Caenorhabditis elegans: one gene and its partners. The protein of the gene in region 1 interacts with the protein of each later gene in a pairwise test. Each region holds a gene or a part of one and is shown in the gene's direction. Other genes may lie near its edges. The genes, in order: npp-1, vbh-1 and imb-2.

Region 1 (6,007 bases):
ACTCGGGGGATTGGCCCCGCCCACAGAACCGTGGCTTGCAATACGCCCATTTTTGCAACTGAATTTTTGCAACTAAAATTATTTTTTCTTGTTAATTCTCGCTCTATTGAGAAAAATACAGTTTTAAAACCGTGCGGCAGTTGCAGAAATGGGCGTATTGCAAGCCACGGTTCTGTGGGCGGGGCCAATCCCCCGAGTTGGTAATCCCCCCAGTTGGACATCCCACGAGTTCTTCGGGTCTCAAAAAAAAGGTTTTTCAAAATAATTTTAATCTAAAATTATTTCTTGAATACTTATTTGTGGCATGAATTTCAATTGAATACTATCAGAGGTTTTGGAAATGTGATACAATTTTTTTGGTTTTCAAAATTTCCAGCAATTGCGCCCATACCGTCTACCTCGTTATTTTCGGAATTTTGGCGGGAAGACGCAGATTGCCTCAAAATGCAGGCAGGCGTTTTGTGTCTACGCGGAAAGCTTACTCTGAAACATACTGAAACTACTACTACTACTCTGAAACTACTCTGAAACTCTTCTTTAAGATTATTGTCGGATGGGGAGTGGCAAGATTCGGGCTGTTCCAATGGATTGCCCCGCAGAATGTGAAAAATGATGTGTTGAACTATATTGGAATTGCATTGACAATCGTGAGTGGAGTTCTTTTGATATTCGTGAAACACGTGGAAACGGAGCCAGAAAATGAATATGATGTGACCAGCAAGGAAATGGAACATCAAGAAGAGATTGAGCAAAGACTCAGCAATTCAGAAAGAGATTCTTCATTTGATATGGCTGGTTTGGCAAAGAAATTACCGTTCGTTGGGCATGCTTAGAAATTTAAAAAAAAAACGAATTTTCAGTTATATCCTTATGGCAATGGTTCTTGCGTGTCTACATGGTTTGATGATGTCACCGATTGAATATTTGAAGCAACAGAATCCACCAACTGATAGTTTCCAAGTGTTTGACTATATTTTCCCATTCTACACATCAGTATTCCTCTTCTCTACACTGTATTTCTTCGCGTATTGTGTAATTTTGCGTCGAAAAGCCTACGTGGAAAGGAATTTGATAATTCCATCGATTGGGTACGGTATTTTATGGACTACAGGTAAGAGATGCGTGGTCGATTGTTCAAATGTTTAGTTCTTCAGGAATGACACTTTGGTTTGTCTCCAGTGATAAATTATCTCAAGTTGTTGCCTATCCATGTACCGCCCGTCTTCCACCGTTAATTAGTGGAGCTCTTGATGTATTTGTATTCAAGAGTATTCAAGGAACCCGATCATATGCTACGTTGGCAATTTCTTCTGTTATTGGTGTCATTTCGGTGATTATGATTGCTTTGTCTAATCAGATTTAATTAGAACAGAACCGAACGATTTATTGATCTCATCTCAAAATGTTGTATTATATTTGAAATAAAGTATTATTCGTATCGTTTAAACGATCGTTTGGTTTAAAAAAAAAATTTTTCAACAAAACAACTGGAAATCTAAAGAAGTTACTATTGATATCTTTTATATCGAAATTCAATTTAAGAATTCTTGATTAAAATGAGTTATCAAATTTTCGCAAAATACGAAGTAACTGAATACCTGAAACATGCATTTCTTTTCACGGTTGAATGTTCTTCGGAATATGTATTCTTTCATCTTCGAGGAGGGTGCCAGCAAACGCGCCCCTTCGTACACAGACAAAATTCGAAAAAATTTGCACGCCAAAGCGTCCCCAAAAATCGATTTAATTCGGCTCATTGTCTTATTTATATTATTATTTTCATTCTAGAATTCTCGCATTAACTACATATGTGTTCTTTTTCTTCTCACAAGCCCCATTTCTCTTAAAAATCGTTTGTTTTCAGCGAAATGTCACTTTTCGGGTCATCTACTCCCCAAAAACAGGCATTTACGTTTCCAACGCCGAATGCTCCAACAACATCGTCTGGAACTTTGTTTGGAAGCACGTTAGTATTTTAAGAAGTATTATTTTTATACAAAAATATTATTTTCAGAACGCCATCAAAGCCTCTGTTCGGTTCAACTGCTCAGGCTTCATCAACGCCTTCGCTTTTTGGAACAACAAATACCTCTACTCCTTCTGGAGGATTGTTTGGAAGTAAGTTTGATATTTTTACTTTTACACAACTTACTTCGTAATCAAAGTTGCATTTTAAACCGAAATATATTAAATTTCAGAGACAGGCACTTCAACTACTACCACTTCAACTGCTGGAACTTTGTTTGGTGCTGCTCCAACCACTTCAACAGCTACTCCAAGTCTTTTCGGTGCTTCTACAACCGGTAAGCTACTCAAAATTATCGATATTTTCGGTCACTTCTACTTAGTTTATACTATTAGCTGTTGTGTGGTCTCGTTGAGAGAAAAGCTAGACAATGATAAGGAGGGGAAATCGATAAATCATATTGATCGAAGTAATACATTTTGGACCAAAAAATTATATTCTAAATTCCAGCAACAAATGAATGAAAAAAGAAAATAGACTCAATATATTTTTTGATCTGACAAATTATTTGACCTACCAAGGTTCTACTTCTGTGATTTGCGCTTAATTTTTATTCAAAATTGTTATTTCTCTCCTATCGCTCTACTTCTCTCGTCGTCATTGTGTTCGTTACCTTCACTTTTCTCTGTCGTGGTCGGTGTCGTGCGGATTTCTTTGCCTGTTCTTCTATCACCCGTGTTGCTCTTTGCTACTCGTTTTCTTCGTCTCGAGCGTCTGCAGAAATGTTTGCCCGACGTGGGGGCATCACCGGAATCAAAGCAGAAGACATGCCGAAGAATCTTCCAAATCTTCCCGATTTACCTACGACATCAGCATCTCAAGCTCCAGCCCCAGCAACCCAGAATGTTAGTTCACCAGCCCGTCGCAATTTGTTTGGAGCACCCAATGACGCTAACCGCACGCTTTTCACAAATTCTCCGGCATCTGGAACCACTTCTGGAACTTCAGGACTCTTCGGAACATCATCAACGACATCTGGAGGTCTCGGCGGTATTGGATCCACACAACAAACTGCCAAATCACCCGTTGCCACAAGATTGGCAGCATTCAAATCAGGAACTTTGGGGGCTGGTAGTCTTTCTGGTAATACTCCAACATCTTTTGCCACACCATCTGCGTTACCAGGAACTAATGCCCCACAGTCATCTTTTCTATCACCGGCAAACAACTTGAATGTGGCTCCAGCAGCTTATCGTCCTCCCTACTCAACATTTGGAGGTTGGTATTCATCAACTTTGTATTAGCTTTTCATATTTCTAGAATTGAGTAGACTTGGTGGGTCAGATCAAAAACCGAATAAAAAAAAAAAAAACTAAACCTAATATTAAATCTTAAAAATAATTAATTTAGATATGTCTAATTAGCTTTAAAACATTGCTTCAAGTATTTTATCGTGAATCTGGAATATAATTGTCTAATTAACGAACTTTGATAATTTTGATGGCTCAATTTTCAGGATCGACCCCATTCGGAGCAGCGTCGACTGGAACAGCCGCGGGATCAACGCTTTTTGGATCGAGTACTGCAAAGCCAGCTACAGGCGGATTTTTTGGTTCCAGCTCAGGGTCTACTCTTGGTGGTCTTGGAGCAACTCAACAACAACAACAGCCTGTTGTTCAGCAGCAACAAGTTATTCAGGTAATTAAATGAATCTTAAGAATATCTGAGCGCTTTTCCAAATAAAATTTTTTCAGCAGTATCACCCATTTGTGAAAGCTGTCGGAGATCCAAAGCTCTTTGGAAATGATAATGATGGAGTTGTTGCTAAGTTGAATCAAGTTGCTGCCGGTTTGGGTGTCGGAAAAGCTCCATACAAAGATGGAAATCAGCTTCTATCGTTTTCAATGGAAGGAAACTTGTTTGAACGATTTGTTGTAAGTTTATTTTATAAATCACTGAAAACTTGCACAGTGTCACGTTTCAGGGAATCGGATACAATCGTATTTCGGAGCGAACCGACGATGAGGGATTTGTAACTTTGGTGCTGCGTCATCCTATTACAAACTTGAACACAGAAGAACGCCGTGACAAAATTCTTGAAATTATCAAAGCTATTCTTGGTGGCGGACCAAATGTAGAAGTTCGATATGCTCCTGGTACTTCGATGAGAACACTTTCTGATGGATGCACAGAAATCTGTATTATCGCCAAAGAAGGCGGATTTGTTGCAGGAGCTATTAAACTTGCTCAAATCCTCAATGATGCTCCAAAAATGACCCAATTAGAATCGCAGTTGCAAGTGGATAAAACAAGGGTTCTTCCTAAAGTTGGAATGTCGAAAGCACAAAGAGATAGATATTTGGAGACAGTTCCTGATGGTTAGTTTACTCGTTATTTTTACTATGTTTATCATTTATTAACAAAGATTTTCGTTTTCCTCCCTCGCATTGTATCAAATTTCATTCATTTCAGGAATCGATGAGCGTATTTGGAGACAAGCAATCAAAGAAAACCCAGCTCCAAACAAACTTCTTCCTGTTCCAGTACGTGGATGGGAAGCATTAAGAGACAGACAGAAGGCTCAAGTTGGCGAGTCGAAACTATTCCACGAGGCAATTAATGCATTGGGAAATCGTGTTGAAGAAGCTAATGTAAGTTGTTATAACTTGATGAAAGTTTACAAATGTCATACATATTTCAGCATGAACATGCAGATGCAGTTGTTAAGATGGAGATTATTCGTAATCGCCATAAAACTCTCTCGTACAGAATTGTTCGTGTTATGCTTGCACAATGGATTGTATCAAGATATTCACGTCAAATTGACACTGATGAGGATGTAATTGAAGCTAAAGCTGATACACTTCTTGCCCAAATGAATCGTCATAATCAAGTGAAGGTGAGAAAAAATTATGATTTAATTTTGTATAAAACAATTAATTTCAGTTTTATGTCGACAAATTCTACGAGATTTTGGAATCAAAACCGGATAAACTTCAAGAATCAATGTGGAAAATGTTTGATATGACAATTGAAGATGAACACTATGCTCGTAGAGTGCTTACCAAATTTGTTAATATTTGCTCTGGCCTTTACGAGTCAACACATCAACAAATCGAAAGTCTTGAAGCTTGTAGAAGGGCTCTAGAAGGATAATTTATTTTTTAGAAAAGATTTTCTGAAAATCTTTTTTTCAGATTTTCTCGTATTAATTTAAAAATTCGCTCATTTCTTTTGTATCATCATTATTTTCTTTCAAACTCTGACAGGTTTCTGGTTATTTCTGTTTCGACCTAAGATGTGTGGCAGAAAATTGTTTTTAAAACTTATACATATTGAGCAAAAAAGCTCGCTTTTTTCTATGTTCGCCTGTCATCACGAGTACATTTTTTCATAAAATATGCCTCATTCTTGGTTGTAACTGTTGATCTGACCTCCTCAAATTGTTAATTGTCTTATTTCACACACTGTTTAATAGATTGAATTAATTCATCTCAAACTTCTATCTAGAATAAATTTGATCTCCATTTTTCTGTTTGAGTTTTGTCAAATAACGGTTGTCTCCCGTTCGAATTTCTGCGATTTTCAAATAATTAGAATCACATAAAAACTATTGCAAAATGTATCTCAGAAAATGGACGATGAAGACAATGATGAAAAGAGACGTCAACGTTCAGATGAAGCTCGTCGAGCCGCGATGAGGCAAAAAATTCAAGATCAGAGAGAAAGAGATCGTCAAATTGCTGCTGACATTGCTAATGTTGACAAAAAAACGACAAAACGCATTGTATTTGAAGATTCGGATGATGGGGATGATCAGGATGAAGAAACAGAAAAAACAGCCGCGAATGGTGAAAAGGTTGGAAGTTTTTCAATTTTTTGAGATAAAAATCTCTTATAACAGCAATTGCCCGATTTCATAAAGTTGTTTGCTGTAAAGACAATACTCGTAAACTAAGTTGGAATAATTCAGAAAACCTCGCGCAGTTCAAAACGTCCAAAACTCTTCGATTCTGAAGATGAAAACGATAAAGATGAGGA
Region 2 (6,488 bases), on another chromosome or scaffold:
GCATGAATTCAAAGTTTAATTTTTTCCGGCAAATCGGCATACTTGAAAAAATAGAAAATTTCCGGCAAATCGGCAATTCGCAAGAATTTAAAATTTTATTTTTTTCCGGCAAACCGGCAATTTGCCGGAATTAAACATTTAATTTCGAAATCATGTCATTCAAAATAATTCAAATTTTTTGTTGCGAAATTGAAAAGATATGCTATTTAACAGTTATATTTGGTATATTTCGACTAATTTCCGTCTAAAAAAACAAAAAAAAATCCACAAAATACACACCAAAAACGTCTGGAAGCTGTTTTAAATCATTTTTCGGCAAAACCAAATGCATTAGATTACTGCAAGATCTAATCGAAGACGAAAGATTGTGAAGAGAGCATCCAGTGAGAGAAAGGAGATTCAATTGGGACATCTGAAAATAAATTTTGGGTTTTGATGGGAATTTAGTATTATAAAATTTACAAAAAAAAAATTTGTTTGAAATTCCGAGAAAAAAATCGTTTTTTTGCGGAAATTCACGGATTTTCCAAAAATTAAAATTCCCTTACACTCTCGAAAACCCGTTTCTGGGAAAGATTGGCCGCTTCGGTGACCGAATCGATTCGAACATTTTTGATGACAATTTCGAAGCGATTATTCTCGATCGCCTCTATTACCTCCGGTTGCTCTTCGAACATTATTCTGAATTTTAATTTTTTCGGTGAAAAAGTGGGAAAAAAATTAGATAAAGATATAAATAATTGAATCGAACCACAAAATTCGTTATAAATATTGAAAATGATTCAAAGTTTAATATATAAAGAAACAAAAATTCTAGGATTCTAGCGAAACAAAAACAAAAAAAATAATAAAAATTCATTGAGATTTCTTCGGAGTATCCAGCTTTTCCTGAAGATTCTTCTGGTGATTCCGAAGGGCGTCAGCTAGAAGAACATCAAGAATTGATTCAGATTGATCTACGCGGTCTGCTTGTATTTGTGGAAATGGATTTCCGTCGATTTCCAGAACTCCGATATCGTATCGCTTCCAGACTTCTCGCTTATTCTGGATAAATTGTTGAAGACGTTGTGGTGGAAGTCGGAATAGTGATGTGAATGGAGAATCGCGGTCTTGGAATCGTGGAACAATTACCTGGGAAAAAAATGATTTTTTTTTGGCGAAAAATCTTTTTAAATCAATTTACTTCATGCATTTTCGTAATTAAATCCTTCTCAGGCAGCCACCATTCCATCATTTCGGCTGTATACTCGTCAAGTGGTCCTCTTTCGACACCCAATTGAATTAGCTGAATTTTATTTTTTTAAATTTTAATTTTCTCACTCATTTTCAAACAAAAAACCCCTCACCCTCTCCAAATATGGCCTGGCCTCGACGGCGCGGTTCCATTTCAGCTCGGCGCGTTCCTCACGGACAGTTCGGGTGACGATGCGACGGAGCACTTCGAGACGAGCACGACGGCTTGGCTCAATTCCTCCGGTTTTCAGCTTTTGTGGTGCGTGACCAATTGTGACGCCGATTCTTGGCAGTGACACTGCCACTCGGTGAGCTGACATTGCCTGGAAATCTTTTTTTTATTAATTTTGAGTCGGAAATTCAAAAAATTGAATAAAATCCCATATATTTCAATAGAAATTCTAATAAAAATTAAATTTAATTCTATTTCGCGAAATTTCGGAGCGTTTTTTGCGTTGAAACACGCTTCCTCACACACGCACTTTAAAGGCGCACCGATTTACACGGTCGGCGGGTCTCGATGGGAAAACAAACGTCTCTTCATCATTGCGTGCTGAATTCACTTCTCTCATTTCCGCTTCTTCTCTACGGTTTTTCGTGTCGATTTTCTCCATTGTCATCGTTTTTCGCATAATTTTCGAGTTAAATTATGCGAAAAATGATAATTCGTCGTTTATTAATGATAAATACTCATTTTCTCCGTCTTAAAACTTCATTTGTTTCGCAACAAGCCAATAAAATGAATTTCAGATACATATTCTGTAATCTCGACGTCAATTGGGTACAAAATCGGTTTAGATTCGCCGATTTTTCTTTTTCGAATTCCGGGTTTCCGTTTGATATAGTCTTACAATGAACACACAATATTATGCGAATCACAACGGTCAACAACAGCCGCCACAACAACAACAGGGACAAGGGTATGATTTCGAAACGGATTTCAAGATTTCAACCTCATTTTTTCAGCTGGTCATCCTCGTATTCTCAACAGAGCAATAATATGCCTGCAGGAGGCGTATTTTACAACGGATTCGCCAACGGAACTCCGTCAAACAACGGGTATGCAATTCAACAACCTATGGTCCCAGGGATGGGGCAGATGATGGGTGCTCCTCATGCTGGATTTGTTCCTTCTCCTTACTTTCAAGGGCAGCCACAACAGCAGCAGCATTTCAAAATGGGCTACTCAGAAAACTTTGAAAACTTCGATGAGAATGGGTGAGAACAGGTGTATAGTGTGCTGGTGATTGTGTTTGCCTCTAACCATATGCTTGTTCTTCATTTCCTTTGTTGCTTTTTGTTAACCTGAAATGAGGCTTCTCTTTTATCAAATCTTGAAATTGCAGATCGTCTGGGTACAACAACTTCGCCGACAGCGGAAACGGTTTCAACAACAAGTATGTTTAAATCTGAATTACAATTTTTATTAGTAGACGTTACAGTGGAGCCGAGAGTAATCAATGGGGAGGAGCACCTGCCGAATATTCCGAAAGGTGAGATTAAAATGTTCTGATTATTAAACGCGATATGGTATTTCAGCAATTTGTTCCACCGTACCGACAGTGGCATCAACTTTGACAAGTACGAAAATATTCCCGTAGAAGTCAGCGGAGACTCCGTTCCAGCAGCCATCGAGCATTTCAATGAAGCTGGTTTTGGGCCGGCTGTGATGGAGAACGTGAATCGCAGCGGATACTCCAAGCCGACTCCTGTCCAGAAACACTCGATCCCAACTCTTTTGGCTAACCGCGATCTGATGTCTTGCGCTCAAACCGGATCTGGAAAAACTGCCGCTTTCCTGCTCCCAATTATTCAGCATATTTTGGCTGGTGGTCCAGATATGGTCAAGCCGGTAAGTAGGGCAAACCTGCGATCCATCAAAATTCGAAAAATTTATACAAAAAACTATTTTAATTGCAGCCAGCGTTCACAAACGGTCGTCGCACTTACTATCCATGTGCTCTGGTTCTCTCGCCGACTCGTGAACTTGCCATTCAAATCCACAAGGAAGCTACAAAGTTCAGCTACAAAAGCAACATCCAGACGGCTATTCTTTACGGAGGACGTGAAAACTATCGTGATCAAGTGAATCGTCTTCGCGCTGGAACGCATATCCTCATTGCTACCCCAGGTCGTTTGATTGACATTATTGAGCAAGGATTCATTGGACTCGCCGGATGTCGTTACCTGGTTCTCGACGAAGCTGATCGTATGCTTGACATGGGATTTGAGCCGCAAATCAGAAAGATCGTTGGCCAAGGAATGCCACCAAAGACTGCTCGTACCACAGCTATGTTCAGTGCAACCTTCCCGAAGGAGATTCAAGTTCTCGCTAAGGACTTCCTCAAGGATAACTATATCTTTTTGGCAGTTGGTCGTGTTGGATCAACGTCTGAAAATATTGAACAACGTCTGCTTTGGGTCAACGAGATGGAAAAGAGAAGCAATCTGATGGAAATTCTGATGAACGAGCATTCTGAAAATCTGGTTCTCGTATTCGTTGAGACAAAGAGAGGAGCCAACGAGTTGGCGTATTTCCTCAATCGTCAGCAGATCCGCTCTGTTTCAATTCACGGAGATCTCAAACAAATTGAACGTGAGAGAAATCTCGAGTTGTTCCGCTCTGGACAGTGCCCAATTCTTGTCGCAACTGCTGTTGCCGCTCGTGGATTGGATATTCCAAATGTGCGCCACGTCATCAATTATGATCTTCCTGGAGATTCTGACGAATATGTTCACCGTATCGGTAGAACCGGAAGATGCGGAAACCTTGGAATTGCCACCAGTTTCTTCAATGACAAGAATCGAGGAATCGGTCGTGATTTGAAGAATCTGATTGTCGAATCCAACCAAGAAGTCCCAGAATGGCTTCATCAAGTTGCTGCAGAAGGACGCATTGGAGGTGGACAACGTGGTGGAAACCGTCGCTTCGGAGCAACCGACTATCGTGTTGGTCGTGGTGGTGGTGGATCGTTCGGAGGGTAAGATCAAATGAGCAGTTGAAAATTAATATTGCTAATAGTTTCAGAAACTTCTCAAATTACAATTCCGGTGGAGCCACTGGTGGTTTCGGAAGTGGACCCGCCTACGGTGGTTCGTTCGGAGGAGGAGCACCACGTCGCCCGTTCACGAATGGAGGATTCGGAGCTCATAGCTCTCTGTCGTCTACCTCTAATAGTGGTGGCGGTGGCGGCTTCAGTGGCCCAAGAAGAGGTTTGTGGAGAAAATAAAGAAAATAATGCAAAATTAATCAATTCCTTGATTTCAGGTGGCTTCAACAGTGGAATGAACCGTCAGGGTGGTGGCGGTGGAGGTTTTTACTCAAACCCAGGCCAGGCTCCAATTGATCATTGGCAAGCTCCACAAGCTTAAACATTATTCGCAACAAACGGAAATCCGGAATTCCACATTAAAGTCTCGCACCATACTCCTTTTTTTATAATTTAGTTGTCTTCCTTTTTTCCTTTACTCGTTCCATCCATATTAAAATAATCATTTTTTCCTCCTTCTCTTTTTTATTCTGTCTCCTTCTTTAAAGCGTGGCTTATTCCTCTCTTTTATTTCATATTATTCTCTCTGTAATTGTGTTTTAATCATTCAATTTTTTTTATCTCAGAGCTTTAAGTGACGAATATTTTAATGGATTCTATGCGTGATCTAGGGTTTTAACATTGAATTTTATTGTATCCTCCCATTTCCCCCAAAAATGTTGTTGTTGCCTGGCAATTTGTACCATTGTTTTGTTTCTCTTGGTGTTGTTTTCTTGCATCAACAATACCCCGAGAGAATCAATGCAGTTTTATCTCGTAGTTTTGTAGTTTTTCTTATGGCCGCTGGATGGCATCCGATGCACTACCGCGTCGGGGACTCAGCACGGTTTTTCTCTATTATCGGTTGTTTGTAAGCTTTGTTGAAACCCGTTTACATAGTGCTGCCCGTTGTTGATTCGTGATATTGTGTGTATTTTTAATTAATTTTTACTTGTTCCCCAATCTGATCCCAACCATTCGTCTTGCAATTATTCAATTCTTAACTTGGTATAGCTGCGGGTGTCTAATTATATTTTCATAATTGTTCGCCAGTATGATCGTCAGTTTATCATTAAATAATTGCGAGTTAGGTATAAAAAGCTTGGTTGCTCTCTTATGATAATGATCTCCCCCCACCTATCCCCAAATCTCTATCATTTTTCCCTCCAACTGATGTTTTTTTTGAGCCAAGTAATATTCATTGTTAGTTGTTTTTTCTCCCTCTAAACAGTATACACGAAAATCATAGAACCAACCATTTCATAATACTCAAGTTGCACTATCATATGCGTCTCGTCAATAGCTAATTCCAAACATTTTCTAGGCCGGTCTAAGCCGTTGAACGTGCAGTCCGTTTCCACGCTTTCTCTTCAATTTCTATTTGCCAATTTCTCCCCAACCAACTGCATTCTTGTCCAATATGCACAATTTTTCTTTTTTATTTTCATCGTCCCTCTCCCATCATTTTTCTCTTTCCCTCGTCACGCACTTATCTCTGTCACTATGAGATTCTTATCTTCTTTTTCCATCTTGAATGTTCACTTTCAGCTCTTTGAGAATAATCTTAAAAGCCCTTGTGGCCTGACAAATAGTTGAATAAACTTGGTATCTGGTACTTGAAAACATTTATACGCGGGCATGCTGATGCTCTCGTTGCATATAAGAAATGACCGCAAGAAAATTATCTATCTTCACAACATGTCAAATGCTACGTGGTCGTTAATAGTCTAGTCCTAGGCCAAAAAATTAATGTATTAAATATTGCCTCATGTCAGTCAAATTTTCATTTCTATTTGAAAATTTGTAATTATGATTCCAGCAACTTGTAGGCTAAATTCCCGGGAGTTTATGTACCTTCGTTTCCGATGTCATTCAACTTCGAAAAAAAAAACAATCAGCAGTCTTCACCCTCTCCATTGTTGTCGAAATCCTGAATTAAAAACAATTATCATCAATGAAAATTGATAATTCTTGCCTTTCAAATAGAAAAATGCCGGTCTTCTCCTTAAAAATCTGCAAAAGAGGGGGGAAAAATGAGTAAATATGCTTTTGTGGGAGACTCATCATCAAATGAAACCAATATTGCTCGTTTTTTCAATTAAAATTATATATTTAATGATAAAATAATAAAATAAAGCATAGAAATGACACAAATAATATCTACGAAAAGCGAAGGAAAACTGCTCTCAAAATTCGGTATTATGGGAACACTAAATCATGAGAAAT
Region 3 (4,864 bases), on another chromosome or scaffold:
AACAAAATGACGGATGCTGTGAACAATCTCCAGAAATCTATCACCGAGAGTACAAACGAGACTACCGTTCTCGAAGGTGCAGCTGCTGCTGTGATCTTGCTCTCTGAGTCGCTTCAAAATTTCTCCAGGGTGGGAATGGAGGTAATTTTACACTTGAATTATAATCTTAAAGACTGAATTCAATTGTTTTTTTTTTCAGAAATCGTCCTCCGACGTCTCATCATCATCTGAGCCAGTGTCATCAGCCGAGCCAGCTGCCGCTGCGCTCGTGCCGTCTGAAGCCGGTCAAGGATCTCGAGACGTTTTTACATCACAATCCGACTCAACGATTCCAGAGTCTTCTAGCTTTGATGAGCTGCTTCCAAATTCGTGCAGGGTGAAAATGGAGGTAATTTTAACCTGAATTCACTTGGATGATGATTTTAAAATACTGATTTAAAGTTTTTTTTTTCAGAAGTCATATTCCGACATCCCACGATCAGCTGAGCCAGTGTTCAAGGTTCCTATGATACCAAATCGCCTATCCCACAGCGCCTCCAATGGTTTAAAGCCGGCCGAGATTTCTCCAATTTTGGTGGATTATGATGCTCTGAACTCGCAAGTCGTTCAGCAAGTCTTGGACGATGCCGACGATAAAGATTTGGAATTGATACACGAAGCGTTGGAGAAAGCTTTTGGAAATCAGGAAAATTGGACTGACGTAAGAAAAAAAGAAATAATAGAAATTTTATCGGGTTTTTTTTTTCCAGAAGTCCACAGCGAAGACCGTTACAATCGGCACAATTATCAAGGCGATTGAGACCAAATTCACAGGAATCTCTCGTGAAGTTCTTCTGGAACAGAAGGAATCCATTGTGGAAGAGGTTCTCGGCAACGTCGAGAACGAGAAGGTTCTCGAAGTGCGCACAGAAGCCATCCGGGAAGCGCTCATTGAGGCTGATTTTGGGCCAACCAATTAAATAGATTTTGAAGTTCTGTTTTTTTCTTTTTCCCATTCAATTTCTCTCACAGTTAATGGGCTTCTCTCATTCCTTACCCCTCGCCCTAGTCATAAATAACTGTTTAACATTTTTTTCTATTCTTCTTTTCAATTTTTCTCAACATTTATGGATTTTCCATTCCTTTCCTCTAGTACAATTGTGTTCAATTTGTTGTTCTCTAAATGGATCTCCCGTTCATTACAAAAACTGGTTAAATAACACTTCTCCAAATGAACGTGTTTTATTCATTTTTTATTTGTCAAATAAACATTTTAAGCTTTAAGTTAACTTTTTTAATTTTTTTATTAAATAACTTCGAACACGGGAATTTTTTATATCAAAAGGTGCCTACTACAGTAATCAAAAGTTAAAGGAACATGGCTTACAGGTTACGGGTCTCGCAGCGAAATTCTAGCTTTGAAACATTTGTCATATTTTTTTCCCATGATCATGATAAATACGTTCCCCATATTTGTTACAAAATATAAAACAATTATTTTCAAATTTCCCTTGTGAATGCTGGCGCGTATTCGGTTTGGCGTCTTTTCCGTCCACCCGCAGTGCTCTTTTCTGCCGGCAAAACACAATTTCTCCCCTTCTCAGCAATTCAGAGAACGCGTCCTCATCGATTTTTGCTTCTGGCTGCAGGATTTATCTCCATTTTATTTAAAATATCAATATGGTTGATATTTTGAACACAAATTTCAATTCTGCAGAAATTACTGCATTCTTGACATCAATCCGTAAAATCTTAATTAATTGCTCGTTAAGAAGTTTAAATTTACGATTTTAATGTGTTTCTTTTTTCAGAACAATTTGGAGCTTTATGCCGACGAATCAAAATGGCTTTCCAACCAGACCAACACGAATTAGAGCAGGTGAGCGTCGTTAAAAAATCGATTATTTCGCAAAATCCGAGTTTTCAGGTAATTCAACTCTTACAACACGCTCACTCCACAGACAGAGATGTTCAACGTAATGTTCAAGTGCAATTGGTACAGCTCAATGAGCATCAGAAGTTCTGTTGTTATCTGGTTTACATACTGAGCGACATGAAGGAGATGATTGACGCGACGAGTCGATCGCTGGCCGGCTTGTTGCTTAAAAATAATATTCGAGCAAAATGGAATAAGTATCCGCAGGACGTGAAGTTTTTCGTCAGGACAACATGTTTGAAAAGTATAGGCGATCAAGAGCCACTGATTCGTGCGACAGTAGGTATCATTGTCACGACTATCGTTATGGAGGAGAATATGTGCGATTGGCCGGACCTTCTAGACACTCTGGCCACAGTTCTGATGCAACCCGACGAGCTGATGCAAGAAGGCGCTCTTGGAGCACTTCAGAAGGTTTTCGAAGACTCGGCGGATCGGTATGAGTCGGAATTTCTTCGGCCAATCATGCCGAAGCTTCTTGTTTTCTATGAGCATCATGCTGCGAAGATGCGGGCTCTTGCAATGAATTGTGTGAATTGCATTCTAATGGTTAATAATGATCCAATTGATTTTGCAATAGATCAATTTCTTACTTCGCTTTTCGCTCGCCACAATGACAATGATGAGGAGGTGCAAAAACAGTTATGTAGATCGCTGACGCTTCTGCTGGACACACACATCGAGAAAATGATGCCTCATTTGCCGAATGTCATAGAATATATTATTAAGAAGACTCAAGATCACAACGAGTCGATTGCCTTAGAGGCCTGCGAGTTTTGGCTTTCAATTGCTGAGAATAGTGATATTTGCCGAACAATGGTGCTTCCACATCTCGATAAGCTCATACCAGTTCTGCTTGGCTCCATGCGATATTCTGAGACAGATCCTGCGTTGAAAGCTAATGATGAAGATAGTTCGGTTCCTGATAGAGAGGAGGATATCAAGCCTAGGTTTCATAAGTCGAAGCAGCATGGTCTTGGTGGCCTTGTGGAGTCGGATGATGAGGAAGACGAGGACGATGATGACGATGGTGGTGGCGACTGGAATATCAGAAGGTGTTCAGCAGCATCTTTAGATGTTCTGGCTTCTATTTTTGGAAAGGATCTGTTGGATAAGCTCTTCCCCCTCCTCAAGGACACATTGATGAATGACAACTGGCTGGTCAAAGAGTCTGGAATACTTGCGCTCGGGGCAATCGCGGAGGGATGCATGGACGGCGTTGTGCCACACCTTGGCGAGCTCATACCATTCATGCTGGCTATGATGTTTGACAAGAAGCCACTCGTTCGATCGATCACGTGCTGGACGCTGTCCAGATATAGTTCGCATATTGCATCCGACGAGAACTTCAGGCAACAGTTTTTCAAGGATGTGCTCGCCAATGTGAGAATTTAGAATATATAAAAAACCTCGTAGTGCTTCAAAAAAAGTTTAAAAAAAAACTAGACTTAATTTGCAAAATTGTTTTAAAAGATTTAAAATGGGGTACTCTTTCAGTTAAATTCTAGTTGAACGCAAGTAATGTACTAAATTGAGAAAAACAAATTAATTTTCAGCTTCTCCGCTGTTCGCTCGACGGAAACAAGAAAGTTCAAGAAGCTGCATGCTCTGCGTTCGCAACTCTCGAAGAAGAAGCTGGCGAGCAGCTCATTCCATTCCTTGGCGAGATCCTCGATCAACTGGTCAAGGCGTTCCAGTGCTATCAGGCAAAGAATCTTCTGATTTTGTACGATGCCATCGGAACACTAGCGAATTCTGTGGGCGACGCGTTAAGTCATCCGGTTTATGTGCAAATGCTCATGCCGCCGTTGATGGAGAAGTGGGAGCGGTTGAGTGACGAGGACAAGGAGTTGTTCCCACTTTTGGAATGTATTTCTGCAATTGTTTCAGGTTGGTAAAAGAAATAACTAATTATAAGATAGTTTCGACTTCATACTTTTTACAGCAATGGGACAATCCTTCCTTCCATACATTCAACCGGTATTCACAAGGTGCTGTAGTCTCATCGAAAAGTGTGTTCAACAAAACCAACAACACATTATGGCTCCGGATCAAGTAGAAGCTCCCGAAACGGACTTTATCATTGTGGCGCTTGATCTCCTCTCGGGACTCGCTGAGTCGTTACCGGAACATATGGATCCCTTGGTGGCAAACAGCAAGCTGGTCGAGTTGATGTTGTTCTGCTCGTTAGATGTGACGCCAGACGTCAGACAATCGTGCTTCGCGTTACTCGGAGATTTGACGAAAGCGTGTCCAGAACGAGTGCTCCCACAGAGTAGTAAGTAGCTCCCGCGTCTACAGATTTGATAAACATTTTCAGAAATCTTACAATTTGCAGGCAATTTCATATTTTTTCTCGCCCAAAACCTGGATCCCTCCAAGATCAGTGTGTGCAACAATGCGATTTGGGCGCTCGGAGAGTTGGCGCTGAAAATGGGTCCCGCAATGAAACAGTTCATCGGGCCCATCATTGAACCTCTGATTGTTGTCATCAATAGCCAGCAGAATATGCAGCGGACGTTGTTGGAGAATACTGGTGAATATCTAAAAATAGTAAAAGCTTGGAAACTAGGTATTTAAATTTACAGCCATCACAATCGGCCGTCTCGGACAATGTTGCGGTGAAGAGCTGGCTCCCCATATCAGCCGATTCGTTCGCCCTTGCTGCTACTCACTTCGAAATATTAAGGATAACGCGGAAAAAGAGAGCGCGTTCATCGGTTTATGCAATATGATCAACATGAATCCCGTCGGAGTTCTCAATGATTTCATCTTTTGGTGTGACGCTATCGCTTCGTGGACAGTACCGACCGACTCACTTCGGGTTCTTTTTGCCGGGGTATTTGAAGATTTTCGATTTTTTTCTGACAAAATCGAAAAAATGTCGATATTTCATCGATTTTTGAATATATTGATGAGAAAAAACATCAAAAAATATATAAGACTTCA

Evidence for each region.
Region 2: the proteins of npp-1 (region 1) and vbh-1 interact in a two-hybrid assay, tested with the Caenorhabditis elegans proteins (one large-scale study listed by BioGRID).
Region 3: the proteins of npp-1 (region 1) and imb-2 interact in a two-hybrid assay, tested with the Caenorhabditis elegans proteins (one large-scale study listed by BioGRID).

Annotation. Positions count from the first base shown.
Region 1 is NC_003282.8:9,856,624-9,862,630, forward strand, and holds npp-1 (Nucleoporin Nup54 alpha-helical domain-containing protein), read left to right. Parts: upstream 1-1,864; 5' UTR 1,865-1,868; coding exon 1,869-1,966; intron 1,967-2,014; coding exon 2,015-2,118; intron 2,119-2,198; coding exon 2,199-2,303; exon of another isoform or gene 2,304-2,748; coding exon of another isoform or gene 2,749-2,974; coding exon 2,975-3,244; intron 3,245-3,482; coding exon 3,483-3,664; intron 3,665-3,720; coding exon 3,721-3,900; intron 3,901-3,950; coding exon 3,951-4,344; intron 4,345-4,438; coding exon 4,439-4,617; intron 4,618-4,667; coding exon 4,668-4,865; intron 4,866-4,912; coding exon 4,913-5,122; 3' UTR 5,123-5,488; downstream 5,489-6,007. Other genes in the region: K07F5.12 (Transmembrane protein 144 homolog), read left to right, coding at 543-814, 861-1,111, 1,155-1,363; K07F5.14 (NUC153 domain-containing protein), read left to right, coding at 5,601-5,825, 5,940-6,007.
Region 2 is NC_003279.8:3,157,881-3,164,368, reverse strand, and holds vbh-1 (RNA helicase), read left to right. Parts: upstream 1-1,977; 5' UTR 1,978-2,085; coding exon of another isoform or gene 2,086-2,153; intron 2,154-2,199; coding exon of another isoform or gene 2,200-2,233; coding exon 2,234-2,451; intron 2,452-2,579; coding exon 2,580-2,630; intron 2,631-2,666; coding exon of another isoform or gene 2,667-2,675; coding exon 2,676-2,726; intron 2,727-2,772; coding exon 2,773-3,085; intron 3,086-3,153; coding exon 3,154-4,214; intron 4,215-4,261; coding exon 4,262-4,446; intron 4,447-4,501; coding exon 4,502-4,605; 3' UTR 4,606-5,877; downstream 5,878-6,488. Other genes in the region: Y54E10A.6 (B3/B4 tRNA-binding domain-containing protein), read right to left, coding at 280-412, 549-677; mrpl-17 (Large ribosomal subunit protein bL17m), read right to left, coding at 856-1,131, 1,184-1,285, 1,347-1,553.
Region 3 is NC_003280.10:14,363,917-14,368,780, forward strand, and holds the start of imb-2 (Importin N-terminal domain-containing protein), read left to right. Parts: upstream 1-1,784; 5' UTR 1,785-1,822; coding exon 1,823-1,858; intron 1,859-1,906; coding exon 1,907-3,298; intron 3,299-3,471; coding exon 3,472-3,805; intron 3,806-3,860; coding exon 3,861-4,193; intron 4,194-4,235; coding exon 4,236-4,451; intron 4,452-4,503; coding exon 4,504-4,754; intron 4,755-4,864. Other genes in the region: tebp-1 (SPK domain-containing protein), read left to right, coding at 1-141, 200-388, 455-700, 750-959.